4 linked regions of the Anolis sagrei genome follow. The protein of the gene in region 2 interacts with the protein of the main gene of each other region in a biochemical or structural test. Links are inferred from orthologs where the notes say so. Each region holds a gene or a part of one and is shown on either strand. Other genes may lie near its edges.

Region 1 (7,862 bases), on a different chromosome or scaffold from region 2:
ATAACTATAAAACACAAAATATTAAAACACACACACAAGGGGCCCCATATCACCTAATCAGTGGATACTGGGATCTTTGAGGGTACAGAGGTTGGCCCAAGTTTGGGGCATGGAAAGGGGCAATGAAAAGGGGGAAAGAGAGGGGAGAGAAGCCCTGCTTGGGATGGAGGGGCTGTATGATAACCGGGGTAGGCTGTGAAAGTAAAAAAGGAAAGCAAAAAGGACACAATGAAGGCTACAGTGAAACAAGTATGAGAGCAAAAGGACACCGAGGTGTCTATTTATTAAGGTGTTACTATGTACTTGTCCTATCTCTGCATTAAGGCAAGCAACTGGTGTAGCTCTGCTAAAAGTGTAGCTCAGTGAACATCTTTGGTTTTCTAGTGAAGAATTACCTGTATGGTCTTATGGATATTTCTTTATAAAGTCCCAAATAGAGCTCAGTTCATCCACTGGATAGTTAACTTTGAGTGTCTTGCTGGAAAAATACAGAAAACAGTTGGAACATTATACAAATAAAACAGGAAACCAGAGAGAGAGAGAGAGAGAGAGAGAACTTCTGGAACATGGCCCTACAGCCTGGAAAACTCACAGTGGTGATTTTGGTCATGAAAGCCTACAACAACACATTGGTTACTATGTAACTCATAAAAGGGGGTTTGGAGATTATGTATCTTCTGGAGCTTGTGGCTGCTGCAGGTCTTCCTAGGTTCTCCAGCTGGCCAATAGTTAAGGCCACTTTGTGGCCCCATTTCTTAAGGTTGGCTCTGCACCTGGTGGTGCCAGAGCGCAGCCTGTTCAGAACCTTCCAGGTCATCCAGATTTCTGTGTGCCCAGGAGGGAGTCTCACACCCAGTTTCAGCCACTAATTGAAGTGCTGGGTTTTAGCCTGCCACTTTTGGACTCTCGCTTGCTGAAGTGTTCCTGTGAGTGTCTCTGTACATCTTAGAAAATTATTTTTTGATTTAATGTGTTGGTGTGCTGGCTGATATCTGGACAGAGGGTGGGCCGGAGATGTCACTGCCTTGGTCCTTTCAGTAGGAACTTCCTGACTGTGAGAGCTGTTCAGCAGAGGAACTCTCTACCCCCTGGAGTGTGGTGGAGGCTCCGTCTTTTAAACATAGGCTGGATGGCCATCTGTTGGGATTACTTTGAATATGCTTTTGGACTTGATGGGCCATGTGGTTTCTTCAAACTTTATAATTCTATAATTCTATATAATACAGTGCATGCATTATTAGGGTACCTTGAATGCGATTTTCCTGCTTCTTGGCAGGGGATTGGACTGGATGGCCCACTAGGTCTCTTTCAACTCAAGGGTTCTATTATTATTATTATTATTATTATTATTATTATTATTATTATTTCTTATCAAAAGCATTGCATAAATTAGTATAAAACAGATGAAAATAGAAGGAGCACAAGTGGCTAAATATCTTTTGACCAAAAACGGGCAAAAGCAACAACATTGTCTGTAGCCTCCAACAATTCTTCCTTTGTACATGAGGCAGGGCATAGTGGACAAGCATACAGATGCAGAGTTGTCTGTTCTGCTCCAGTCATACAAGGTGGGGGATTCTTTTAGGTAGTGCCATTTTGCCAGGCTGTCTTTTGATCGATCCACTCCACTTCTGGGTCTGTTCAGGGACTTCCAAGTTGTCCATTCTTGGTTTGCCCCTGGAGGAAGACCCGGGGGGGGGGGGTGGCCATTCATTTAGGATTTCCTGGTTTAGCTGCCCAGAGGGATAGTATTGCCGTTACTGGGGGAACGTTAAAAGGAGTGGTGGTTCTCATTATAAACCAATTTCATTATAATGGAAACCAAAGTGCTCTTCCAGCAGGCACCAGCCAATCCGCCTGCAATGCCAGAAATACAGCTTAATGGTGTAACATTAGAAAATGTTGACCATTTCCACTACCTTGCCAGCTACCTCTCCACAAAAGTCAACATTGACACTGAAATACAACACTGCCTGACCTCTGCGAGTGCAGAATTTTTCCAAATGAAGCACAGAGTGTTTGAGGACCGGGATATCTGTAGGGATAACAAGGTGCTTGTTTATATAGTTATTGTCCTCCCAACTCTGCTATATACCTGTGAAACATGGACTATCTACAGATGTCACATGCAACACCTGGAACGATTCCATTGGTGTTGCTTCTGCAAAATCCTGCAAAACTTTTGGGAAGACAGGCGGACAAATGCCAGCATGCTGGAAGAAGCAAAAACCAATTCTGGCTTAGATGGCATTGGTTCTAATGGCTTGTTCTTGAGCTGCCAGAATCAGGCCCTCTGTCTCCTTTTTCAAAGTTCCATTTGTAAGCCACAGCCATGTTTTTTCTTCGTCAATTTGGCTCTCAATTTTTCCCAGGAACTTATTATTATTTCTCTATGATTATTGGCTGCTACTTCCTGGAGGATCTCTGGATTATCTGCCTTGATATTCTGGGTTATATGGCTGTGTGGAAGAGCCCCTAGTTTCTTCAAGTGTTAATCTGTTGACCTAGCACTCTTTGGCAAAAGCGAAAGCCCTTGTAAAACTATACACCTCCTGGGATTCCATAGTGCAACCAATAGGCTGTTAGGAATTGTAGGAGTTGCAGTCCAAGTTTGCCCAGGCCCCGTCTACACAGTTCCAAGCTGCATGGTGTTCAGAAGTGTGTCCCACTGCCTTTCTGAACAAATCAGTGTTGGGTTGTTGTAGGTTTTTTCAGGCTATATGGCCATGTTCTTGAGGCATTTTCTCCTGATGTTTCGCCTGCATCTATGGCAAGCATCCTCAGAGGTAGTGAGGTCTGTTGGAATTAGGAAAAAGGGTTTATATATCTGTGGAATGACCAGGGTGGGACAAAGGACTCTTGTCTGCTGGAGCTAGGTGTGAATGTTTCAACTGACTGCCTTGATTAGCATTTGATGGCCTGGCAGTGCCTGGGGCAATCTTTTGTTGAGAGGTGATTAGATGTCCCAGATTGTTTCCTCTCTGTTGTTTTGCTGTTGTAATTTTAGAGTTTTTTTAAAAACTGGTGGCCAGATTTTGTTCATTTTCATGGTTTCCTCCTTTCTGTTGAAATTGTCCACATGCTTGTGGATTTCAATGGCTTCTCTGTGCAGCCTGACATGATAGTTGTTAGAGTGATCCAGCATTTCTGTGTTCTCAAATAATATGCTGTGTCCAGGTTGGTCCATCAGGTGCTCTGCTATGGCTGACTTCTCTGGTTGAAGTAGTCTGCAGTGCCTTTCATGTTCCTTAATTTGTGTTTGGGCAATGCTGTGTTTGGTGGTCCCTATGTAGACTTGTCCACAGCTGCATGATATACGGTAGACTCCTGCAGAAGTGAGAGGATCCCTCTTGTCCTTTGCTGAACGTAGCATTTGTTGGATTTTCTTGGTGGGTTTGTAGATTGTTTGTATGTTGTGTTTCCTCATCAGCTTCCCTATACGTTCAGTGGTTCCCATGATGAATGGCAAGAACACTTTTTCTCTGGGTGGATCTTTGTTTTTACTCTCATGGCTTGTTCTCGGTCTTGCAGCTTTTCCGATGTCTGAGGTGGAGTATCCATTGGCCTAACAACCACGATGTCAGACTACAAAGAGAAGCCATTGAAATCCACAAGCATGTGGACAATTTCAACAGAAAGGAGGAAACCATGAAAATGAACAAAATCTGGCTATCAGTATTAAAAAAAATTACAACGAGAGGTGGCCCTAGGTAATTTTCAACAGTAAGCAAACAGTATCCCCCCCCCCCAACCAATCACTGATATATATTTTCTGTTCGTCATGGGAGTTCTGTGTGCCATATTTGGTTCAATTCCATCACTGGTGGAGTTCAGAATGCTCTTTGATTGTAGGTGAACTATACATCCCAGTAGCTACAATTCGCACATGTCAAGGTCTATATGTATGCAACTGGAGCAAAACATTGATGTATATATTAATTTCAGTCCACCAGAAGGCCTTTAGTAGGCCGAAGCCGGTAGTGGACGGCTGATTTACAAGCTACTCATAAGAAGATACGACTGTACTAAAATTTGCACAATATTGTTTGTTGTTGCTGTGAGGTTGAACAGTGCGGCATGTTTATGTACTGTTGTTGAATTATATTATTGTTTATCTTATACAAGTGGTATTTTTGTTGTATGCACTTCATTCAGGAACCCATTTATATTATATTATAAGGTCTATTTTCCCCCAAGAGCGCCCCTGGGCAAAATCAACTATACTGCAAATGCTTACTTTGCGTAATGGGTTGAGCCGCCCTTGATTACAACAGCAAAACAACAGAGAGGAAACAATCTGAGACATCTAATCACCTCTCAACAAAAGATTGCCCCAGTCACTGCCAGGCCATCAAATGTTAATCAAGGTGGCCAGCTGAAACATTCACACCTAGCTCCAGCAGACAAGAGTCCTTTGTCCCACCCTGATCATTCCACAGATATATAAACCCCTTTTCCTAATTCCCACAGACCTCACTACCTCTGAGTATGCTTGCCATAGATGCAGGCGAAACGTCAGGAGAGAATGCCTCTAGAAAGTGGCCATATAGCCTGAAAAAACCTACAACAACCCAGTGATTCCTGCCATGAAAGCCTTCGACAAAATCAGTGTAGTCTGGAATAGAGTTGCAAAGGAAGCTTTCTCAAGACTGTTCCTTAACAACTCTCTCTTTTCACTTTGAAAAGAGTGAGAGAAGCCTCTCCCCCTCCCCTCCTCTCTCCCTACTTCCGGCTCCGAAGTCCAGGCTCCGTCCCATTGGCGGGGGAGTCAGGACCTGGCGCCTTTCGGCGAGGGGCCCGCCAGGGGGCGCTGCGCGGAAAGGGTGAGACCAGCCCTCTCCTGTCCTCTCCTCTCCTTCCGGAGTTTCCCCTCAGCAACAGCTGCTGCCTCCCCCCTCACAGCTCTTCCTCCGCGGCCGCCATGTTGGCTCGGGATGGTGAAGCGGGGCTCCTCTGAGGGCTTGTGAACGAGCTTGAAAGCCCTCCATGGAGCTCCTGGAGCGGGGCTGAGCGGCCCCTTCCGAGGCGGAATTATTCAGGCCCGCCGAGGAGCCCTCTCCGTCAGGCAGGTGAGCACCCTGGGCGCTTCTCTCTCCCCGCGCTTCCCGCAGAGTCCCTTGGAGAGCGCTAGGCCTCGCTTTCAGGGCTGAAGCGACGCTTTGACGCAAACATGGGCCCTCCAGATGTTTTGGACTTCAACTCCCACCATTCCTAACACCCTCAGGCTCCTTCCTTTTCCCCCTCAGCCGCTTAAGCGGCTGAGGGGGAAAAGGAAAGAGCCTGAGGCTGTTAGGAATGGTGGGAGTTGAAGTCCAAAACATCTGGAGGGCCCAAGTTGGCCCACGTCTCCCTGGACGCCATCCTCTCTCGTGCCTGCTTCGAGTCTCCTTCCTAGGAAGTTTCCCCAAAACTTCCTCCTCTTCCCCCACCTCCTTATTGGAATATGTGTGTGTGTGTATGTTGTCATGTGCATCTCTACACTTAGACTTTTAACTACCACGACTCCATTCCAGGGCTTCCCAGTTCTCAGTGTTCTAACTGGGAAGCCCTGCCCCTTGAGTGCTCCAGCTTGAGGTCAGCTGTGACCAGCAGTGCTGCAGAATTTGAAGAGGCACGAATGGAGGGTGAAAGAGAGAAACGTGCCAGGAGGAAGGCGCGTCAAGCCAACCCCGGCCGAGACTGCCTTCCATCTGGAAACCAATGCCCTCACTGTGGGAGAAGATGCAGGTCAAGAATAAGGCTGTTTTGATACTCTGGGTTATATGGCTGTCTGGCAGGCCCCTGGAAAGGGGATTGTGTGCCAGTTTGGGGATGCATCTACATCAAGCATGGGCAAACTTAAGCCCTCCGAGGTGTTTTGGACTTCAACTCCCACCATTCCTAACAGCCTCAAGCCCTTTCTTTTACCCCCTCAGCTGCTTAAGGCCTGAGGATGTTAGGAATGATGGGAGTTGAAGTCCAAAACACCTGGAGGGCCCAAGTTTTCCCATGCCTGATCTACACTAGGATTGATGCACTTTGACACGGCTTTTAACTGCTATGGATCCATGCGATGGGATGTGTAGTTTGGCAAGGCACTCTTCTTTGGCACAGGAAGAGTGAAGACCTTGCCAAACTAGAACTCCAATGATGTGTGTGTTTGTGTTGGTCCCCTTTTCACTCTTCCTTTTCTTTCCTCACACCTCTCCTAGGCTCCTTCCACACAGCTGAATAAAACCCCAGTTATCTGCTTTGAACTGGGATATATAGCAGTGTAGACAGATCACCCTGTTCAAAGTAGATATTGTGGGATTGCAGATATTGTGGGATTTTCTGCCTTGATATTCTGGGTTATATGGCTGTGTGGAAGGGCCCTAGAAAGTTTCCCCTAAACTTCCTTCTCTGTTCAATCTACTTGGGGGTTGGGAGAGTAAGTAAAAATTAAACAAAGTAAATAAAACTTTTATTTCTATCTCGCCCTATCTCCCCATGGGAACTCAGGGTGGTTCACGACATAAAAGGCAAACATTCACTGCTGTATAATACAACAATGTATTGAAAGTGTTTTAGAGTTGAGATTATAGGATCATGTTTTGTGGATTTCTTCAAATGATTTCCTTTTTATTCATAGTCTTCAAGGTATACAGTGGCAGAAGGTTGGTCGCCTCCTGACCTGTGCTCACTAAACAAAGCTGGGAGCCAGGGAGGAGAGCTTTGTTTTGTGTGTGTTTTGGGAGTCTCCTTCCTATTTACCTTTCCATTTATTTCCTCTCAACTGCCCTTGAAAGTTTTCAACAAATTTCCTCTTTTTCACACCAATGGAAAGGAGATGTGCCTATTTTGGGGTTAAACACTGGAGTTTATGTGGTTTGATGCCATTTTCACTGCATGGCTCAAAGTTGTGGGATTTGTAGTTTGGTGAGACCCCAGCAATCTTTGACTGAGAAAGACCTTGTAAGACTGCAACTTCCATGCTTCCATAGCATTGACCATGGCAGTTAAGGTGACGTCAAACTGCATTAACTCTACAGTATGGGTGCAGCCATAGTCAGCGGATTTCCTTCTAGTGTTTCATCCTCAAGATACATTTGGGCTCCTGTCTTTCCTCCTCTTAAAGAGCCCACTATGCAGATGTGGCAGCAAGGGAGGAGAGCTGCATTTTGTGTATGTGTGTATTTGGAGCCTCCTCCTCAGTCATGGTTTGGTTCTTTCCTCCCAACTCTCTTCTCGGCCTATTTCTTTGGGGGTGTAGGTGTTGGAGGGCAGATTGTGTACATGTTTTGGCCTCATAATGTGGAGATTCTTCAGAGGACCTCCTTTTAGTGTTTCATCTTCAAGATACATATTGGTGGATGGTTGGGCTCCTCCTAACCTCCCGACTATGCAGAGGGGATGGCCAGGGAGGAGATCTGCATTGTGTGCGTATTTGGGGGTCTCTTTCCCACTCATCCTTTGGTTCTTTCCTCCCAGTTGTCATAGGAAAATTTCCCCAAAACTTGTTCCTCCTTCCCACCTATTCCTTTTGGGTGCATCTATGCATTCCCCTTAAGGTAACTTAACACCACTTTAACTGCCATAGCTCAATGCTATGGAACCTGAAATTTGCAGAGAAGACTAAAGATCCTGTAAAACGTCAACTCCCAAGATTCCATAGCATTCAGCCACGGCAGTTAAAGGGGTGTCAGATTGCATTAAAATGTCATCCTTGGTCTCAGAGTCATTGTGGACATTATTCAAAGGACTTGAATAATGTTTTGTTCTCAAGATACACTTGATATACTTTGGCGAAAAGTCGAGCATCTGTCTTTCCTCTACTATCCTCCTCCTAACCTGCCCACTATGCAGAGGTGGCAGCCACAGAGATCTGCTTGCTTTCTGCATTA
Region 2 (7,339 bases):
AACTTTTCAAATAGAGGACTTTTCTCTGTAAAGAAGGTCACATGGTCAATTTTGATCAGCACTGAGTTTTATCACGGAATGATAGGCCACTGCTGCACAAAGTGGACTTCTACCAATGTTGTCACTGCCACAGATACAGTCTCCCAAATTTCCAGGTCTCGCCAACCAATACTTGTCTCTAGAACTCCAGATCCAATTTTTTTTGTCATGTCAGGAACGACTTGAGAAACTGCAAGTCGCTTCTGGTGTGAGAGAATTGGACGTCTGCAAGGATGTTGCCCAGGGGACACCTGAATGTTTTGATATTTTATCATAAAAAAGTTTCTCAAGTCACTCCTGACACGAAAAAAACAAAAACAAAAAACCAACCCAGAATATCAAGGCAGAAATTTACACAATATTGGCTTAGAATTGGGTTATCTAAGTCCACACTGCCATATATTCCAGTTCAAATCAAATAATATAGGATTTATCCAGCTGTGTGGAAGGAGCCTAACTAGTCTCTGAGAAGTCTTAGGCCCCTACTTCACTGCCATATAAAATCCAGATTATCTGCTTTGAACTAGATTATATGCAGTGTAGACTCATAATCCAGTTCAAAGCAGATAGTATGGATTATCTGCTTTGATTATCTGAATTATAAGGCAGTGTAGAAGGGGTCTTAGACTGGATCTACATTTCCCTATATCACAGATCCGATCCACAATTATCTGGCAGTGTAGACTCATATAATCCAGTTCAAAGCAGATAATCTGGAATCAGATCCTGGCATATAGGACAGTGTAGATCCAGCCTTACTCAAATGCTTACAATTCTATTGTTACCCATTGACACGGCAATCCAATACCACACATTCTTAACATTCACAATTCTTCAATAAAAATGCCATAAGAGAAATGGGGAAAAAATTAGCAGAGTCCAGGTCATGATCACCCTAAGGCATTTTGGTGACTGAGGCTGGATCTATACTGCCATATAATCCAGTTTAAAGCAGATAATCTGGATTTTATATGGCAGTGTAGATCTAGCCTGATATAATAGGGCTGGATCTGTGTTGTCGAAAAATGTTGTTCCTCTTCTTTATAGCCTTTATTCCTTATAAAGAAACTGCCAGGGCTGAAAGATGATGGGGAAATGGCTCAGATGTTGCCACCTGAGAAGTGGTGGCTTCACTGTTTTTCATTAGGGAGCCGGCCCAGATGCAGCCATGCTGAACTATTCCTAAATGTGGAAACTGTGAGTTGGGTATGCTCAATTGCACTCTGCGAAAGACTGGCATGCCAACCGAGAGTGACTAATGTGATTTATGGATACTTGGTTTACTTTTTAGCATACAAATGTTGAGTATCTCTTATCCGCAATGCTTGGACCAGAGTGCTTTGGATTTGGGGTTCTTTGGGTTCCTGTATTTGCATATTTGCACACAAGGAGATGTCTTAGACATAAGACCCAAGTCTAAACCCAAAATTATAAACAGCCTCCAACTAAGTTTATGTAATATATATTTTAAATATATATATATAAATGAAGCACAAGTTTGTATACATGAAACCATCAGAAAGCAAAGGTCTTGTTATCTCAGGCCCTCTTGTGGATAATTTTGGATTTTGGGGTGTATTTTGGAATTCCGGGTAAGGGATGCTCAACCTGTATCAGTAGCAATGCATGGATTGTTAGACCTCTCTCAGAATAAGCGAAGTTTCAACTGAAAGGAGGAAATCATGAAAATAAACAAAATCTGGCTACCAGTATTTAAAAAATAAACTCCAAAATCAGGACAGTAAATAAAGAACAACACTCAGAAGACAGGGGGATTCCAGACAAGAAACTATCAGGGCTAGTAACACCTCCCAACAAAGGATCCCCAGGCAGGAAGTAGCCAGGCTTTGAAGCTGCAAGGCTATTCAAAGCTAATCAAGCTCGCCAGCTGAAATATTTGCACTTGCCTCAAGCAGACTAGAGTTCTTTATCCAGCCCTGGACATTCTACAGATATATAAACCTCACTTGCCTAGTTTCCAACAGACCTCACAAGCTCTGAGGATGCCTGCCATAGACTCAAATAATGTGGGATTTTCTGCCTTGGTATTCTGGGATATAGAGCTGTGTGGAAGAGCACCGGGTTATCTGAGTCCACATTCAGTTAATGTGGGATTTCCTGCCTTGATATTCTGCGATATAGGGTTGTGTGGAAGGGCCCCAGGTTATCCGAGTCCACACTCAGATAATGTGGGATTTCCTGCCTTGATATTCTGGGATATAGGGTTGTGTGGAAGGGCCCCGGGTTATCTGAGTCCACACTCAGTTAATATGGGATTTGCTGCCTTGATATTCTGGGATATAGGGCTGTGTGGAAGGGCTCCAGGTTATCCAAGTCCACACTCAGTTAATGTGGGATTTCTTGCCTTGATATTCTGGGATATAGAGCTGTGTGGAAGGGTCCTGGGTTATCTCAGTCCACGCTCAGTTAATGTGGGATTTCCTGCCTTGATATTCTGGGATATAGGGCTGTGTGGAAAGCCCACAGGCTGTGTAGAAGGGCCCCGGGTTTTCCAAGTCCACACTCAGTTAATGTGGGATTTCCTGCCTTGATATTCAGGGATATAGGGCTGCGTGGAAGAGCCCCAGGCTGTGTGGAAGGGCCCCAGGTTATCCGAGTCCACACTCAGTTAATGTGAGATTTCCTGCCTTGATATTTGGGAATATATATTGGGAATATATTTGTGAAAGGGCCCCGTTATCTGAGTCCACACTCAGTTAATGTGAGATTTCCTGCCTTGATATTCTGGGATACAGGGCTGTGTGGAAGGGCCCCAGGTTATCTGAGTCCACACTCAATTAATGTGGGATTTCCTGCCTTGGTATTCTGGGATATAGAGCTGTGTGGGAGAGCACCGGGTTATCTGAGTCCACATTCAGTTAATGTGGGATTTCCTGCCTTGATATTCTGCGATATAGGGTTGTGTGGAAGGGCCCCAGGTTATCCAAGTCCACACTCAGATAATGTGGGATTTCCTGCCTTGATATTCTGGGATATAGGGTTGTGTGGAAGGGCCCCGGGTTATCTGAGTCCACACTCAGTTAATATGGGATTTGCTGCCTTGATATTCTGGGATATAGGGCTGTGTGGAAGGGCTCCAGGTTATCCGAGTCCACACTCAGTTAATGTGGGATTTCTTGCCTTGATATTCTGGGATATAGAGCTGTGTGGAAGGGTCCTGGGTTATCTCAGTCCACGCTCAGTTAATGTGGGATTTCCTGCCTTGATATTCTGGGATATAGGGCTGTGTGGAAAGCCCACAGGCTGTGTAGAAGGGCCCCGGGTTATCCAAGTCCACACTCAGTTAATGTGGGATTTCCTGCCTTGATATTCAGGGATATAGGGCTGCGTGGAAGAGCCCCAGGCTGTGTGGAAGGGCCCCAGGTTATCCGAGTCCACACTCAGTTAATGTGAGATTTCCTGCCTTGATATTTGGGAATATATATTGGGAATATATTTGTGGAAGGGCCCCGTTATCCGAGTCCACACTCAGTTAATGTGAGATTTCCTGCCTTGATATTTGGGAATATATATTGGGAATATATTTGTGGAAGGGGCCCGTTATCTGAGTCCACACTCAGTTAATGTGGGATTTCCTGCCTTGATATTCTGGGATACAGGGCTGTGTGGAAGGGCCCCAGGTTATCTGAGTCCACACTCAATTAATGTGGGATTTCCTGCCTTGGTATTCTGGGATATAGGGCTGTGTGGAAGGGCCCCGGGTTATCTGAGTCCACACTCAGTTAATGTGGGTTTCCCTGCCTTGATATAATGGGATATAGGGCTGTGTGGAGAGGCCCTGGGTTGTCTGAGTCCACACTCAGTCAATGTGGGATTTCCTGCCTTGGTATTCTGGGATATAGGGTTGGCATTTCCCTTCCTGAGGCATTTAGAACTGGGGGGTTTATGTGGAAAGGCACCCTATATAAAGTGTTCGTAGTTTAATAAACTTTCCCCATGTTTTTATGACAGGACCAATTAGGAAATGGCAATGATAAGTCAGGCACTGAAACCGTGTTACGTAGCGTTGTGATTATTATTATTATGTGTTGAAAAGGCAATTGACTTTTCCACAAAAGGGGAGAGAATCCCACTGCCTCAGACACAAGAGCTGGGAGCAAGCGCCCAACGGTCTTCCTGAGGCGCGCGCGAGGCGAGAAAAGAGGGTGCGCGAGCGAGCGAGGGAGAAACAAAGGGGCGTGGCTGCGAGAGAGAGAGAGAGAAAGGGAAGGAGGGAGGGGAGAAGCCGGAGGGGGGAGTTGGACGCCCCCTCCCTCCCTCTCCCGCCAGCGCGCGCGGCATCCGAGGTTGGATGTGTCGCGCGCCGCCCGCGCTTCCTTTCTCACTCCTCGCCTGGCTTTGGAAGAGGTCAGTCAGTCAGTCGGTCCGTCGGGAGGGACGCTCGCTGCTGGCGTCATGAAAGCCTCCTGGGCTCTCGAAGTGGCCTGGCTGGCGGCGCTTCTGGGCTGCCCGGCAACAGGTGGGTGAGCGGGGTGAAGCGGAATAGGAAGGGAGGGGGCGTGTGTTAGGGCACCTGAAGCAAAGGCTCCTTCAGCGCCGCCTCGCTCGCTTCTTTTCCCCGGTCCGGCTTGAGTTAGGCGCTCCACGCCCTCCTCGGTGCCGCTTCCAAAGGCTTGGCTTTGAAGTTGCATCCCAAGAGCTGGAAGCGTCCCTGAGGCGCGCGCGAGGGAGCCAGGAATTGATTATTATTGATTATTACAATATACTAGCCGTCCCCTGCCATGCATTGCTGTGGCTCAATCTGGATCCCCCGGTGGTGCAGTGGGTTAAACCCCTGTGCCCTCAGGACTGAAGACCCGACAGGTCAGAGGTTCAGATCTGGAGAGGGCGCGGATGAGCTCCCTCTGTCAGCTCCAGCTCCCTATTCGGTGACATGAGAGAAGCCTCCCACAAGGATGATAAAACATCAAACACATCCGGGCGTCCCCTGATGAACGTCCTTGCAGACGGCCAATTCTCTCACAAATCCGGGGAAAGTACGAATGAGCTCCCTCTGTCAGCTCCAGCTCCCTATACGGGGACATGCGAGAAGCTTCCCACAAGGATGATAAAACATCAAACACATCCGGGCGTCCCCTGGGCAACATCCTTGCAAATGGCCAATTCTCTCACACCAGAAGCGACTTGCAGTTTCTCAAGTCGCTCCTGACACGACCAAAAAAAAGAAAAGTCTGGTGATTTGGAAAATAAAGTAATGAGAAAGTGTTGGTTTCTAATATATGTAATTTCTTTATGCTTGTTGTTTCTTTGTCAGTGTTGATGTGGAGATTGTCAGGTTTGCCTACTCTGGAACATGCGACATATAATTGTCCTTAGAATCATAGAATCATAGAGTTGGAAGAGACCTCATGGGCCATCCAGTCCAATCCCCTGCCAAGAAGCAGGAATATTGCATTCAAATCACCCCTGACAGATGGCCATCCAGCCTCTGTTTAAAAGCTTCCAAAGAAGGAGCCTCCACCACACTCCAGGGCAGAGAGTTCCACTGCTGAACGGCACTCACAGTCAGGAAGTTCTTCCTCATGTTCAGATGGAATCTCCTTTCTTGTAGTTTGAAGCCATTGTTTCGCGTCCTAGTCTCCAGGGAAGCAGAAAACAAGCTTGTTCCCTCCTCCCTGTGGCTTCCTCTCACATATTTATACATGGCTATCGTATCTCCTTCTTTAGAGGTCCCTTTCAAAACTATGATACTATATCAGTCATATACATAAATGTGTGTGCGTGTGAATCATGTAAATCTGTGTATATCTATGGCTGGATTGTCCTTTAGTGGGCCATTTCAAATCTATGACACTATATCTGTCATCTACATATATGTGTGTGTCAACATATCTATCTATCTATCTATCTATCTATCTATCTATCTATCTATCTATATCTATGGCTGGATGGCTCTTTGTCAGGAGGGCTTTGGTTATGTTTTCTTGCCTTGGTGAAGGGAGTTGGACTGGATGGTCTTAAGTCAGTGTTTCTCAATCTGGGAGTCGGGATTCCTGGAGGAGTTGTGAGGGGGTGTCAGAAGGGTCGACAAAGACCACCAGAAAACACAGTATTTTTGGTTCTGTGTGGGAAATTTGACCCAATTCTATCATTAGTGGGGTTCAGAATGCTCTTTGATTGTAGGTGAACTGTACATCACAGTAACTACAACTCCCAAATGTCAAGGTCTATTTCCCCCAAACTCCATCTGTGCTTGTATTTGAGCACATGGAGTATCCGTGCCAAGTTTGGTCCTGATCTATCATTGTTTGAGTCCACAGTGCTCTCTGGATGTAAGTGAACTACAACTCCAAAACTCAAGGTCAATGCCCACCAAACCCTTCTAGTGTTTTCTGTTGGTCGTGGGAGTTCTGTGCGCCAAGTTTGGTTCAATTCCATCATTGGTGGAGTTCAGAATGCTCTTTGATTGTAGGTGAACTATCAATCCCAGCAACTACAACTCCCAAATGACAAAATTAATTTTTTTAGTGATGATCACTCCTTGGGTTAGTAGGTGTCTTGTGGCCAAATTTGGTGGCAATTCGTCAAGTAGTTTTTGAGTTATGTTAATCCCACAAACGAACATTACATTTATATATATATAGACTAGAACTCCCAAACTCAAGGTCAATGCCCACCAAATCCTTCCAGTATTCTCTGTTTGTCTTTTGAGTTCTGTGTGCCAAGTTTGGTTCAATTCATTGGTGGTGTTCAGAATGCTCTTTGATTGTAGGTTAACTATAAATCCCAGCAACTACGACTCCCAAATGACTTAATTAATTTTTTTGAGTGATGATCACTCCTTGGGTTAGTAGGTGTCTTGTGGCCAAATTTGGTGGCAATTAGTCCAGCGGTTTTTGAGTTATGTCACTCAAAATGAACAGCATTTTTATATATATAGATGATCATAGGTATAGGCAAACTTGGGCCCTCCAGGAGTTTTGGACTCCAACTCCCACAATTCCTAACAGCTTACCGGCTGTTAGGAATTGTGGGAGTTGGAGTCCAAAACCCCTGGAGGGCCTAAGTTTGCCCATACCTGTATTATCCTCATCCTCATCATTATCTGTGTCGTGGGGTGCATCTCCACTGCAGATTTCAAGCACCTTTACTCCACTTGCACTGCCCTGGCTCAATGCTATGGAGTCCGGAGTGTTTGTTTGTTTTGCAAGGTCTTGAGCTTGCTTTGCCCAAACGTGCAGGTGCCTCAGTACACTACAAATTCCAGGATTCCATTGCAGTTGAATAGGTATCACAGCATTCAGAGATGCTTGCACAGACACACCCATTTTCCCGAAGC
Region 3 (7,009 bases), about 79 Mb from region 2:
AAATGTTTTTTTAAAAAAAAAATAAATAAATCTAAAAAGCAAATCTTGATCTTGAAATTTTATATAAGAGATACCATTCCAGGACCTGAGCACAGGGTACCTGGAACTAACCCTCAGCAGATATGAAGTGCCCACTGTAGTCATGTATTGTACAAATTTACTTGGTCCATTTAGCCCATATTTATCATCTGGCTCCTGCACTTTTCTCTCAGCCTTGTCCTTGCAACTGTTTTGCACAAGCCCCTGCCTCACCTGTCAGCTCAGTACATGGCCTCTGGGATAGGCTATTGGTTGTTTTGATGGTTTGATTGTTGATGGTTATGTTTTTATGAGGTTTTTTATTTGAATTTTACTGTGTTATATTTTAATTTTTGTCTGACTGGGCTTGGTTCCCATGTAAGCTGCCCAAAGTCCCTTCAGGGAGATGGTGGCAGGATAAGAAAGTAAAGTTGTTGCTGTTATTATTATTACTACTACTACTATTTCTGTACAGCTGCTGCCTTTTGAAAAATTAGACAGAAACAAAGAAAGAGCAAAACAGTCACAGAAGTTTCTGGAATGTCTGTTTTTTGTGCAAGGAGAAAGGATGGGAAGGGTAACCTGAAAATACTGTTTCCAGAAATCCATGTCTGTTTGTGTGTGTAAAACTAGTGTTTTATCACAGAAACAAGAGTTTTTTCCCCTTCCAAGTTCTACTATATGTATTATGGGGTAAGAGAAAACCCATAAGTCCCAATGACAATCCTAAGACAATCCTAGGAACTACAAAGCAGACAATCCTAAGACAATCCTAGGAACTACAAAGCAGAGAAAAAAGAGTGATTTTTGTCACCCTTTACCTTCAATTTCCCTTTTATCATTCCAAGAGACTTCTGTCTCTGCCATGGTCTTTTCTTTCTTTCTCCATCTTTCCTATTCCTTCCTTCCTCTGTTTCCAAATCTGTGTGTACTGGACTTTCCCCTCCTTCCTATTTTTTTTTTACTTGCCATCATTGCTATTACCAACAAACCAACTTTTTTATTCCTTTCCCAAATGGAATTGTGCTCCAATTCATTTTTTTTGAATTTAATTCCAGACATGAGGGTGGTTGATGAATGGGGGCGATTAATAGAAAGAAAACTGATTGGATTGAATTGGATTTGGCTGGAAAATGGCAAATTAATTGGGGGTAACCCCATGAGTCACCCTTAGTTGGCTGTTTTTCACACTAGTTCATAGCTATTGCAAATTAATTGTAATTGGAGAAAACAACTAACTTGAGATGATCAAGGGGGGATGAGACGCAAATGAATTGGATGATATATTTTATTCACAGTGATTTCAATGGAAAATTAATTGCCTAGCTTGGCCATGTGTGCAATTATTTCTGAGTTTGCATGTGTAGTTATAAAATTAGCTCACACAACTCTGGAAATGAAATAGCTTTTATATTTCCTTCCGTGTTCCTGAAGCCTCTCTATCCTTGCTTCCTGCTCACCAGCTTCCAAGGCCTGAGCAACATTATAAGATCTACATGGCTTGGGTCCAGAGTTTCTGAAATACCATAAATGAACCAATAAGAGCCACACCAAGCTTCAAGATCAGCAGGGGAGTTTTCCCTTGGTCCTACCCTTGGTCATGGGCTCATTTGGGGAAAACACATAAGGGAACCTTTTCAGTGGCTTCTTCCAAGTCATAGAAATCCCTTCCTCAGAAGGTCCAGTTGTCCCTACTCTTGATGGTTTTCTGTTAACATCTATAGACCTATTTATTTAATGAGACATTTGGTTTGTTACGTGCCAAGAGGAAGGAGTGTCAAGCCAACTCTGATCGGAACCACCTTCCACCTGGAAATCAATGTCCACACTGCGGGAGAACATGCGGGTCAAAAATAGGGCTCCACAGCGACCTACGGACCCACCACCAAGAGACTACACTTGGAGGATTTGAACCACCAACCTTTCGGTCAGCAACCTCAGCAGCTCAGCATTTCAACCCGCTGTGCAACTGGGGGCTCTTCAAAAAGGTGAAAGACTTTGTAAAACTTTCAGGATTCCCTTGCCAGTTAAAGCAATGTCAAACTGTATTCATAGATGCATCTCCCCCACCTCCACGCTTTTGAAGGAGGTGCCTAGGCAAAGATACTTTCAGTGGTGCATCTATTAAGCCAATTTGACATCACTTTAACTGGCTATGGCATCGTGAGTTTTACAAATGTTTGGCCTTCTTGGCTAAAGTGGGTGGGTACCTCACCCACACTTCCAAGATCTGACAGCAGTGGTTCTCAACCTTCCTAATGCTGCAACCTCTTAATACAATACCTCATGTTGTGGTGACCCCCCAACCATTAAACTATTTCCATTGCTACTTCATAACTGTAATGTAAATATCTGATATGCAGGACGTATATTCATTCACTGGACCAAATTTGGCACAAATACCCAAGAAGCCCAAATTTGAATACTGGTGGGGTTGTGTGTGTGTGAGAGAGGGGGGTATTGATTTTTTCATTTGGGAGTTGTAGTTGCTGGGATTCATAGTTCACCTACAATCATAGAGCATTCTGAACTCCACCAACAATGGAATAGAACCAGTCTTAGCACAAAGAACTCCCATGACCAACAGAAAATACTGGAAGGGTTTGGTGGACATTGACCTTGAGTTTTGGAGTTGTAGTTCACCTACATCCAGAGAGCACAGTGGACTCAAACAATGATGGATCAGGACCAAACTTGGCACGGATACTCAATATGCCCAAATGTGAGCACTGGTGGAGTTTGGAGAAAACAGACTTGACATTTTGGAGTTGTAGTTGCTGGGATTTATAGTTCACCTAAAACCAAAGAGCATTCAGAACTCCACCAATGATGGAATTGAACTCCCATGACTAACAGAAAATATTGGAAGGGTTCGGTGATCATTAACCTTGAGTTCTGGAGTTCTAGTTCACCTACATCCAGACAGCACTGTGGACTCAAACAATGAAGAATCAGGACCAAACATGGCACGAATACTCAATATACCCAAATGTGAATGCTGGTGGTGTTTGGGGAAAATACAGCTTGACATTTGGGAGTTATAGTTGATGGGATTTATAGTTCACCTAGAATCAAAGAGCATTCCGAACTCCACCAATGATGGAACTGAACTAATCTTAGCACACAGAACTCCCACAAAGAACAGAAAAAACTGGAAGGGTTTGGTGGTCATTGACCGTGAGTTTTGGACTTGTAGTTCACCTACATCCAGAGAGCACAGTGGACTCAAACAATGATGGATCAGGACCAAACTTGGCACGGATACTCAATATGCCCAAATATGAACACTGGTGGAGGTTGGGGAAAATAAGAGTTTGGCATTTGGGAGTTCACCTAGAATCAAAGAGCATTCTGAACTCCACCAATGATGGAACTGAACCAATCTTAGCACACAGAACTCCCACGAAGAACAGAAAACACTGGAAGGATTTGGTGGTCATTGACTGTGAGTTTTGGACTTGTAGTTCACCTACATCCAGAGAGCACAGTGGACTCAAACAATGATGGATCAGGACCAAACTTGGCACAGATACTCAATATGCCCAAATGTGAGCACTAGTGGAGTTTGGAGAAAATAGACTTGACATTTGGGAGTTGTAGTTGCTGGGATTTATAGTTCACCTAAAACCAAAGAGCATTCTGAACTCCACCAATGATGGAATTGAGCCAAACTTTTCACACAGAACCCCTATGACCAACATAAATACTGTATTTTCTGATGGTCTTTGGCGACCCCTCTGAGACCCCCTCGCGACTCCCCCTGGGGTCCCGATCCCCAGGTTGAGCAGCACTGCCCCCCAGCATGGACCCCTGGCCATTCAAGTGCGTCAGCCCGCCTTCCTCTCTGGCTCTGGCTGGGAGGGCTGAGGTTGTCCTCCTGCGCTCCATCTCGCTGAAGTTCCCCAGGGCTCTCCCCCCCCCCCCAATTCCTCCCCCTTCCCTCCTTGGCAAGAAGGACGCCAGGAAAGGCGTGTCCTCCGCTTCCAAGCCCGAGCCGTGGAAGGAGGCAGCTCGCAGCTATATAAGAAAGGCTCCGACTGCTTCGCACAGTCCTCGCTTTGGCGGAGCTGAGAAGGAGGGCGGCTGTGCCAAGGCAAGGCAAGGCAAGGCAAGGCAAGGAAGCGCGTGGGTGGCGGGTCCGGGGCGAGGAGGGTCGCAGAGCCAAGCGAGGGAGAGCCCAATGCACGGACTAGCCGCCTTCGCAACATGCTGGAGCTACAGAGGCGCTAACAGGAGTTTGCACACAGCTGCTGAGGCGGGATTGCAGCGCTCTCTTTCCTTATGAAGACGGCACAAGTGAGTAGCCAAGCCGTGGAGGAGGAGGAGGAGGGGGGGGGGTGGCACTTCGCCCCTCGAGGGCAGCCTGGCACCGGTTTGCCTCGCAGAAGCGTGGGTTGAGGGGTTGCCTTCTTCCACGTGCGTTGGAAAACTGACCCTTTGCACACACACACACTCACATCTCTATGGGCATCAGTCGTCACTGGCGGAGAACTTGCCCAGTTTGCCAGGCTAGGGAAGAGCTGCCATGCCAAGGTGCCTTCCTAGTAGAAGCTTTGTCCTGGTAACTTGCCCAGGGAGAGCTGCCATGCCAAGGTACCTTCCTGGTTGAAGCTTTGCCCGGGGGCTTCCCTCCCTTGTTGCTTCTCTGCCCTGTCCTTTGTACATGATGGAGCTGGGGAAGTTCCTGCCTCTCCCTGGTAGGACCAAGGCACTATAAATAGTCAATGCATGATCAGGGTGTCTGCTAGGGTTTGGTTCCAGGACTCCCATGGATACCTAAGTCCCCTTATATACAATGGTGTTGTAGGTCAATGGTCTTCCATGTATACAATGGCAAAATCAAGGGGTACTTTTCGGGTTTTTTTTTTTTTCAAATCCTGGATGGTTGAATTCATGGATACAGGATTTATGGCAGTGGTCTCAACATTCTGAATGTCGTGACCCCTTAATACAGTTCCTCATGTTGTGGAATGACTGATGGTGCAGTGGGTTAAACCACTGAGCTGCTGAACTTGTTAGATTGAAAGGTTGCAGGTTCGAATCCGGGGAGCGGAGTGACCTCCTGCTGTTAGCCCCAGCTTTTTTCCAACCTAGCAGTTTGAAACATGCAAATGTGAGTAGATCAATAGGTATTCTGGCAGGAAGGTAATGGCATTCCATGCACTCCATGCGGTCATGCTGGCCACATAACCTTGGAGGTGTCTACCTCCAAGCTCTTCAGCTTAGAAATGGAGATGAGCACCAACCCCCAGAGTTGGACACGACTGGACTTATTGTCAGGGAAAAATGCTTACTTTTATCTCATGTTGTGGTGACCCCTCCCAACCATAAAATTATTTTTGTTGCTACTTCATAACTGTCATTTTACTACTGTTATGAATTGTAATGTAAATATCTGATATGTAGGATGTATTTTCATTCACTGGACCAAGTTTGGCACAAATACCCAACACACCCAAATCTGAATACTGGTGGGGTTGGGGGGTGGATTTTGTCTTTTGGGAGTTGTAGTTGCTGGGATTTACAGTTCACCTACAATCAAAGAACATTCTGAACTCTACCAACAATGGAATTGAACCAAACATGGCACACAGAACTCCCATGACCAGCAGAAAATACTGGAAGGATTTGGTGGGCATTGACCTTGAGTTTTGGGAGTTGTAGTTCACCTTCATCGAGAGAGCACCGTGGACTCAAACAATGATTGATCAGGACCTAACTTGGCACGTATACTCAATATTCCCAAATGTCAACACTGGTGGAGTTTAGCAAAAATAGAGCTTCACATTTGGGAGTTGTATTTTCTGGGATTTATATTTCACTTACAATCAAAGAGTATTCTGAACCCCCACCAACTATAGAATTGAGCCAAACTTCCCACACAGCACACCCATGACCAACAGAAAATACTGTTGAGAAAAACTGATCTATGGACAAGCAGTTTGGCACTATGATTCCATTCAACCTGCCCCATACAACAGAATTGGCAGAGATGCTGCCATGTAAAAGCATGCAATGGGCCTGCTTTGGACATTGCTCAGTGCCCACTTCCCTCTATCCTTGCCACTTCTATGCATTTTGCATCACACTCTGTACATTTATTGGCTCTGGTTCCATTTCCTCCCCACAAGGTGGCAAAGGATATATTCCCATTGATAGATGTATAGAGATGGACAAGGGGCATTTTCAGAGAAAAAGGGACTGGAAAATAAAATTCTGTTTTTATGTATAGATAACTGGTTAGCAAGCCAGGCCATGAAACAAAAATATTGTGACCGGTCCATCTCCAGCCACGTATTTGTGTATATCTGCCATTGTCTCTTTGAGTGACAGAGCCAATGCTTTCCCTTCCTCACTGACTTTTCTCAAAGGTTTATACTTTTCTTTACTCTTTTCTCCGAGGCACTTGCCATTTACCATTTTAGACACAGAAAAAGGCTGCAATAGAAGAAAGAAAGAGAAAGAAATCTAGGCTGGGGTCAGAAAACAAAATATTGATTTTGGAAATTTCAGATTTTTTAGAAAACCATCCATTTGTGAAACAGTAACTCCTTGGAATTGAGGGAGGAGGGTTGAAATGTTGCCATCACAGTATTTTTCCTTTTAAAATGTGTTAATGCCTGCTGGGTTGTTCTCTCATTGTCTTCCCATTATAATGGGGAATAAAATTCTTCAGAACATTCTATGGCAGGGCTGGGGAAGTTTGAACCACATATTTTAATTTACAATTAGGAGCCCCTGGTGGTGCAATGGGTTAAACCCTTATGCTGGCAGGACTGCTGACCAAAAGGTGGTTCGAATCCGGGGAGCAGGGTGAGCTCTCATCTGTCAGCTCCAGCTTCCCATGCGGGGACATGAGAGAAGCCTCCAACAGGATGGTAAAACATCTGGGCGCCCCCTGGACAACGTCCTTGCAGATGGCCCATTCTCTCCTGACACTCCTGACACACACAAACAGTGATCATGTTGGGTGGGCTTCTGGAAGCTGAAT
Region 4 (7,751 bases), on a different chromosome or scaffold from region 2:
CCATGGGCCATCTAGTCCAACCCCATTCTGACATGCAGGGAAAGCACAATCAAAGCACCCCTGACAGATGGCCATCCAGCCATGATGATGATGATGATGTGGGAAGAGACCCCATGGGCCATCTAGTCCAACCCCATTCTGACATGCAGGGAAAGCACAATCAAAGCACCCCTGACAGATGGCCATCCAGCCATAATGATGATCATAATAATAATCATAATAATAATAGAGTGGGAAGAGGCCCCATGGGCCATCTAGTCCAACCCCATTCTGACATGCAGGAAAAGCACAATCAAAGCACCCCTGACAGATCCAGCCTCTGTTTAAAAGCTTCCAAGGAAGGAGCTCCCACCACACTCCCAGGCAGAGAGCTGCACTGCTATACACACACACACACACACGCACACATATATATTAATATTGCTATATCTATAAATAATACTAATAGTATATTATAGACAGAAATACAAATAATACAATACTGTTATTATTAATACTATATATATTATAATATTAACCTTACTATTAATTGTATATATTATTAATAGCACATCGTATTTATATATATACACACACACACACATACACACAAAATACAGTACTGTTTATATTACTATATATATACAAATAATAATACAGTACTGTTATTAATACTATATATTAAAATTAATATTGACATTAATAGTATTAATAGTATATTTTATTAATAGTACTTAGTATATATATATATATACACACACACACAAATAATACAGTACTGTTAATATTACTATATATAATATCAAATATGATATTATACATAGGAATACAAATAATAATACAGTACAGTTATTAATATGAATAGTAACTCTTTATAGAGAGAAAGACAAATAACAGTACTCATATCAACACTATATGTTAATAATGTGAATATGATATTATAGATAGAAATACATATAACAATACAGTACTGTTATTAATATGAATAACACTATATATTGTAAATATATTATTTGTATATATTTACAAATAACACAATACTCATATCAATACTATATATTAATAATGTGAATACAATATTATAGATATTATCCAGTATTGTTTTATTTATTTATTTATTTATTTATATCCCACGTTATCTCTCCATATGGAGACTCAAAAGTGGCTCACAATCAAAACCATTACAACTTCAAATATACAAAAATAAAACAGTATATCATGATATATTACTATATATTATCAGTAGTAATTATATTTAATATTAGTATTTAATATTATAGATTGTTAGATTGTATTATTATATTGCATAACATAATGTAACTATCAATATATTATTATTATATATTATTTGACTGTATTATTATTATATTATATTACATTATCACTACATTGTACTACACCACTATGCTGCAATATTATACTTAATATATTAGTATTACTATATTACAATATTATTATATATTAGATTGCATTATAAGTATATAGCATAACATTATATTATTATCAATATAATATTATTTTATATATTATTAGATTGTATTATTTTTAATATTATATTGTGTTACATTATTACTATATTGTACTATACTACTATATTGCAATATTATGACATTTAATATATTAGTATTACACGATTACAATATTGTTATTATATATTATTAGATGGCATTATTATTAATATAATTGTAGAACATTATAATATTATCAATATTATATATTATATTATATATTATATTATTAGTAGTATTACTATACCACTATACTTCAATATTATATTTAATATATTAGCATTAGTATATTACAATATTATTATTATTATATATTATTAGATGGCATTATTATGAGTATTTTGTATAATATTATAATATTATTATCAATATTATATATTATTATTATATTATATATTATATTATATTAGTATTAGTATTACTATACCACTACACTGCAATATTATTATATTCAATAGATTAGAATTACTATATTACAATATTATTATTATTATTATTATTTATTGGATTGATTATTATGAGTATTTTGTATAACATTATCTTATCAATATATATTATTATATATTATTTTATATTATATTAGCATTACTATACCACTATACTGCAATATTGTTATATTTAATATATTAGCATTACTATATTACAATATTATTATTATTATTATTATTAGATGGTACTATATTAATATAGTACCATCTAATTAGTATTATAGAATATATTGTACTATATCACAAGTTGTAGCCTATATAACATATCATATTACAATATTATTAATAATAATAATATGATGTATATAGTGATTAGAATTAATAATATGAATAGTATATACCAAGCATGGGCAAACTTCGGCCCTCTAGGTGTTTTGGACTACAACTCCCACAATTCCTAACAGCCTACCGGCTGTTAGGATTTGTGTGAGTTGCAGTCCAAAACAGCTGGAGAGCCGAAGTTTGCCCATGCTTAGTATGTATGAATAGTAGCAATACTATCAGTAGTAATAGTATGTCAGGATCAGGATGTGTCTTTTGTTGCAGCTCTGCTGTCTTCCAAGAGACCCCCGTCCTTGGAAGCAGTAGCGAACTACAACTCCCAGGGCTGGGCGCGGTCTTACCGGCTCCTGGCTGAGCAGCAGGGGTTCCTTCTCCTCCTCCTCCTTTTCCTTTGGCTGCCGCTGCATGGCGCCTCCAGCCGGCCTCTGGGTCCCGCGCCTCGCCGCCCGCGCTTTTATGCCGCTTTGCTTGCTTACGTCGAAGGCGCCGCCGGGCGGGGAGCCCTTTGCCCATACTCCCCGTCGGGAAGCAGCAGCGCTGCCGCCGAGTGCCGCAGCCTTCCCTCGGCAGGAAGAAAAGCCCTAGCCGACGGGAGGAGCGCTCCGAGGCGCTGCCCGTCGGAGCGCGCTTGGAAAGCTACTGAGGCGAAACTCAAGGAACGCTGCTGCTGCTGCTGCTGCCGCCGCTCTTCCCTCTCGGCTCTTCCGTCTTCCCTCCCTCCGCCCGCCCCGCTTCCTTCTTGCCTTTTTGGACGGCTCCGGCCGGAGGGAGGGAGGGACGACGGAAGAGCAGCAAAAGAGGCGCGTGCTGGGAAGGGAAGGCAAAGGCGGGGGGGGGGGGGTGGGCTCGCACACTTCGACGGAAAAGCGCCTGACCCGAAGGAAACTAAAGAAATTTTAAAAAAAAGTGAAAAAGGCGGGAAAGGCTAAAAGCGCCTCGCGGCTTCGTCCCTCGCCCTTTCTGAGGGGCCCCTAGGGGCCCTGCCATATAGCCAGAGTACCCAGAATAACAAGGCAGAATAACCCACAATGTCTATCTGAGGGCCCCTTTTACACAGCTGTAAAAAATCCCACCTTGTCTGCTTTGAACTGGAATATATGACAGTGTGGACCCAGGGCCCTTCCACACACCCATATAATCCAGGCCCCTTCCACACAGCTGAATAAAATCCCACATCTGCTTTGAACTGGGATATATGGCAGTGTGGACTCAGATAAGCCCCCGTGATGCAGTGGGTTAAACCCTTGTGCAGCAAGACTGAAGACTGACAGGTCAGAGGTTCGAATCCGGGGAAAGCTCCCTCTGTCAGCTCCAGCTCCCCATGCAAGGACATGAGAGAAACGTCCCACAAGGATGGTAAAACACAAAACATCCGGGCGTCCCCTGAGCAATGTCCTTGCAAACGGCCAATTCTCTCACACCAGAAGCAACTTGCAGTTTCTTAAGTTAGTCCACACACACACACACAGAAAACCCAGTTCAAAGCAGATTTTCTGCCTTGATATTCTGGATTATATGGCTGTGTGGAAGGGCTCCCAGAATATCAAGGCAGATAACCCCACAATATCTGGTTTGAACTGAAATATATGGCAATGTGGACCCAGGGCCCTTCCACACATCTTTGTCCGTAGACGCCTCCAAGGTCATGTGGCCAGCATGACTGCATGGAGTTTTCAAAGTGCTAGGTTGGCAGAAGCTGGGGCTAACAATGGGAGCTCACCCTGCTCCCCAACACAAGTTATCAAATAACTAGCCCACTTCCACGGCCTAACTCAATGCACGAGGAAGGCCTAGCTGGCCATTTTCCCTTGCAGGATTGTTGTGAGGGGAAAATCAAGTGGCGCTTTCCAGAAGGAACACTGTTTTGTTTCGTCTTAATGTCACATCACACACTCTGCAAGTGCAGCATTCTTCCGAATAAAGCAGAGAGTGTTTGAGGATCGGATGTTAATAGGGAGACCAAGATGCTTGCTTATAAAGCTATTGTCCTTCCAAGTGTATCAAAACGGACCATCTACAAACATCACAATTGACTTCTCCATCAGCTTTGCCTCTGAAGAACCTGCCAATCTCTTTGGAAGACAGGCGGACAAATGTCAGCGTGCTGGAAGAAGCAAAGACCACCAGTATTGAAGCGATGCTCCTCTGTTATCAACTCAGCTGGACCGAAAGCTACATTGCCCGAATGCCCAAAGATCATAGTCTCCCAAAGTAGTTATTCTACTCCCAACTCAAGAACGGAAAACAGAATGTTGGTGGACAGGAAAGGACATTGAACAATGTGCTTAAAATAACAAAGCCAGTGGACCTGATGGGATCCCTGCTGAAATCTTTAAAGGGGGTGGACCTGGGAGAAAAGAATAAAGAGGAAGAAGGCGCTTCAAGCCAACCCTTGTTGGAGCCACCTTCCATCTGGAAATGGATGTCCTCATTGTGGAAGAACATGTGGGTCAAGAATGGGTCTCCACCGCCAAGACCCTATGCTTGGAAGACCATGATGATGATGTCCAGCACCGCTCCCTACTTCTTGGGTTTTTTTTTTAATTCCTCATATCTTGTCCTCTGAAGTGTTTTTGGACTGCAATTCCCATCAGGGAGGGACAATGGGAGGGGCAGCCTTGTCCTGGCTTGAAAGGCCTGAAAAGGAATGTTGTTTGGCATGACTTTGCAGCAGTTTAATGCAATGGAGCCCCAGCTCAAGGAACCCTGGGAGTTGTAGTTTGCCTTAAGGAGAGAAGGCTTATCCAACTACAACTCCCAGGATTCGTACAGAGACAGCCCTCATTCCACCTCCTCAGTCCAAAAGGATGTGCTTTAAGAGGGGCAGGGTTTCTGAGCAAGCGCAGAGTGCACTCCTCTTACAGCTCTTTCCAAATAGCCTTTCTGATAGGCTTTTGGCCTGCATTTGAAGAGAAGACACAAAGGATCAGTCTCTATTGCAGAGTTAATGCAGCTTGACTGCACTGGAACTGCCTTGGCTCCATGATGTGGGACCCTGGGACTTGTAGTTTGGAAAAGGAGGCTAAAGATTCCATTGCCTTGAGCCATGTCAGTTCAAGCGGTGCCAAACTACATTAAGTCTACAGTATAGATGGACCCAGAGCTTTTTGTATCCCAAAAGGAACTGTCACTCGCTTAAAAGTCTTCAATGTCTGACAAGTAACACTATCAATTCCTTCTACAGAAAAAAACAGTCCAAGCCCTGGTTTGAAACACCTTGCCTGAAAGACAGAAAGCACATCTATACTAACACAACATACAAACAATCTACAAACCCAACAAGAAAATCCAACAAATGCTACGTTCAGCAAAGGACAAGAGGGATCCTCTCACCTCTGCAGGAGTCTACTGTATACCATGCAGCTGTGGACAAGTCTACATAGGGACCACCAAACGCAGCGCCCAAACAAGAATCCAGGAACATGAAAGGCACTGCAGACTATTCCAACCAGAGAAATAAGCCATAGCAGAGCACCTGATGAACCAACCTGGACACAGCATTTTATTTGAGAACACAAAAATGCTGGACCACTCTCACAACCACCATGTCAGGCTACACAGAGAAGCCATTGAAATCCACAAACATGTGGACAATTTCAACAGAAAGGAAGAAACCATGAAAATGAACAAAATCTGGCTACCAATATTAAAAAATTCTAAAATTGCAACAGCAAAAACAGCAGAGAGAAAAACAGGCAGGGACATCTAATCACCTTTCAAGAAGAGTTTGCTCCAGGCACAGTCAGCCCATTGTATGCTAATCAAGGTGGTCAGTTGAAAGATTCACACCTAGCCCAACTTACAAAAGCCCTTTGTCTCACCCTGGTCATTCCACAGATATATAAACCCCTTTTTTCCCAGCTCCAGCAGACCTCACCTCTGAGGATGCTTGCCATAGATGCAGGCGAAACGTCAGGAGAAATGCCTCTAGAACATGGCCATATAGCCCGAAAAAACTCACAAGAACTGACACATCTATACTGTCAAATGAATGCAATCTGACCCTGTTTTAACTGCGACAGAGCCCTGGACGTTGTGGCTGGGCACTATCTTTGGCCTCCTCTGCTCAAGAAAGCCAGGGCTTTGCTAAACTACAACTCTGGGGCCTTTGCTGCATTCAGAGAAAGACAGAGCGACCCAGGAAAAGGTCGTTTTGACCCAACTCCTTAGGATCATTAGCTGCTTCCCCTCCTCTCCGCGGGCTTTACATATTGCCTGAGCAACATGTTGCATAATCCAAGTGTTTTTGTGCAATCCAAGCATGGATAAAAGAAGCCGAATGAAAAGAGTTAAGATGACTGTTATTACGAATAATAGCCGGATGCAACTCTCAGCAATTCTTAATAATAAGAAGGAATGGACAAGTGCTGGGCCCGAGTGCCACCTGCTGGCCACTTGAACACCTCAAAGCCATCTTGGGCTTTTGTCTTAATCCACCTTGGAAAAATGGCCTTTTGGGGATTGTGGCTTCCAATGCTGTCTGCGGATGCTAGGTGTTGTTATCTTTTGACCCCCAAGTGGCTGATTTAGAATCCCGTGGATATAGTATCACATGGAACCGAGCTATTTCTTAAGGTAGCAATTAAATTAATGGAGAGCCAGCCTGATAATGTAGCTGGAGGCTAGCGATCTGTGTCCGTGTCATCGATGGACCGCTGGCTGACCCTTGGGCAATTTCCTGGTACATCTACAGTCACTCAGTGCGATTGTCCACAATGCTCATCTCGTCAGGGGAGTTAAAAATAGGAATTAGCAGGTAGGGCGTAATTGTGTATATTGGCCTTGTTTATGCAGCAATTACCTCCATTTCGCTGCACTTACTCCCATTTGTTGGTTAATGGATCTCAATAGCCACTCAAGACCAATCCGGCTCAAAAACACTTCACTGTGCCCAGCTTTGTCTGTCCTAAGGTGCTCTTGGGTGAAAGCTGAAAACAAGGATGCTTTAATTGGCCATAATTGGGTTTGGCTGAGGCAACCATCCACGTAACCAGCAGGTGGCACGGCCGCTTCACCGATCAGGCCAGGGGAAGAAAAGGGGATATTTCCAATAAAGTGGTGGACCAAAAGCTGGACTGATGAAAGCAGGCAATGCTTTCTGACGACAGCGGCTGGGGGGGGGGGGGGGGTCCTGCTAAATTTGATGTTCCAAGTCACCTTTGTTTTGGAGCAGGCCTGGGCCAACTTGGGTCTTCCAGGTGTTTTGGATTCCTAACAGCCTCATGCCCTTTCCTTTTCTCCCTCAGCCACTTAAGCAGAAAAGGAAAAGGAAAGGGCCTGAGGCTATTAGGAATTGTGGGAGTTGAAGTCCAAAACACCTAGTGGGCCCAAGTTGGCCCATGCCTGCTTTGGAGGCTCTGAATAATTCCTGGATGAAAAGCAGAAACTGCTTGTTTTGCTAGGAAATTGTGAACGTGGTCGGCAGGGGGCACTGCAAGCCTAGTTATTGGCTCGGCTCCTGTTCCCTGCCATTACTGATATTCTTGGTAGAAAA

Evidence for each region.
Region 1: the proteins of KIT (region 2) and YES1 form a complex in vitro, tested with the Homo sapiens proteins (2 studies listed by BioGRID and IntAct, with this or other methods). The link is inferred for Anolis sagrei from reciprocal best matches to the Homo sapiens genes KIT and YES1.
Region 3: the proteins of KIT (region 2) and KITLG form a complex in vitro, tested with the Homo sapiens proteins (3 studies listed by BioGRID and IntAct, with this or other methods). The link is inferred for Anolis sagrei from reciprocal best matches to the Homo sapiens genes KIT and KITLG.
Region 4: the proteins of KIT (region 2) and SH2B3 form a complex in vitro, tested with the Homo sapiens proteins (2 studies listed by BioGRID and IntAct, with this or other methods). The link is inferred for Anolis sagrei from reciprocal best matches to the Homo sapiens genes KIT and SH2B3.

Annotation. Positions count from the first base shown.
Region 1 is NC_090024.1:61,126,270-61,134,131, reverse strand, and holds the start of YES1 (tyrosine-protein kinase Yes), read left to right. Parts: upstream 1-4,847; 5' UTR 4,848-5,069; intron 5,070-7,862. UniProt on the Homo sapiens protein: Non-receptor protein tyrosine kinase that is involved in the regulation of cell growth and survival, apoptosis, cell-cell adhesion, cytoskeleton remodeling, and differentiation.
Region 2 is NC_090025.1:74,176,265-74,183,603, reverse strand, and holds the start of KIT (mast/stem cell growth factor receptor Kit), read left to right. Parts: upstream 1-4,325; 5' UTR 4,326-4,455; coding exon 4,456-4,519; intron 4,520-7,339. UniProt on the Homo sapiens protein: Tyrosine-protein kinase that acts as a cell-surface receptor for the cytokine KITLG/SCF and plays an essential role in the regulation of cell survival and proliferation, hematopoiesis, stem cell maintenance, gametogenesis, mast cell development, migration and function, and in melanogenesis.
Region 3 is NC_090025.1:152,739,740-152,746,748, reverse strand, and holds the start of KITLG (kit ligand), read left to right. Parts: upstream 1-3,994; 5' UTR 3,995-4,299; coding exon 4,300-4,314; intron 4,315-7,009. UniProt on the Homo sapiens protein: Ligand for the receptor-type protein-tyrosine kinase KIT. Plays an essential role in the regulation of cell survival and proliferation, hematopoiesis, stem cell maintenance, gametogenesis, mast cell development, migration and function, and in melanogenesis.
Region 4 is NC_090034.1:30,911,740-30,919,490, forward strand, and holds the start of SH2B3 (SH2B adapter protein 3), read right to left. Parts: upstream 3,016-7,751; 5' UTR 2,665-3,015; coding exon 2,599-2,664; intron 1-2,598. UniProt on the Homo sapiens protein: Links T-cell receptor activation signal to phospholipase C-gamma-1, GRB2 and phosphatidylinositol 3-kinase.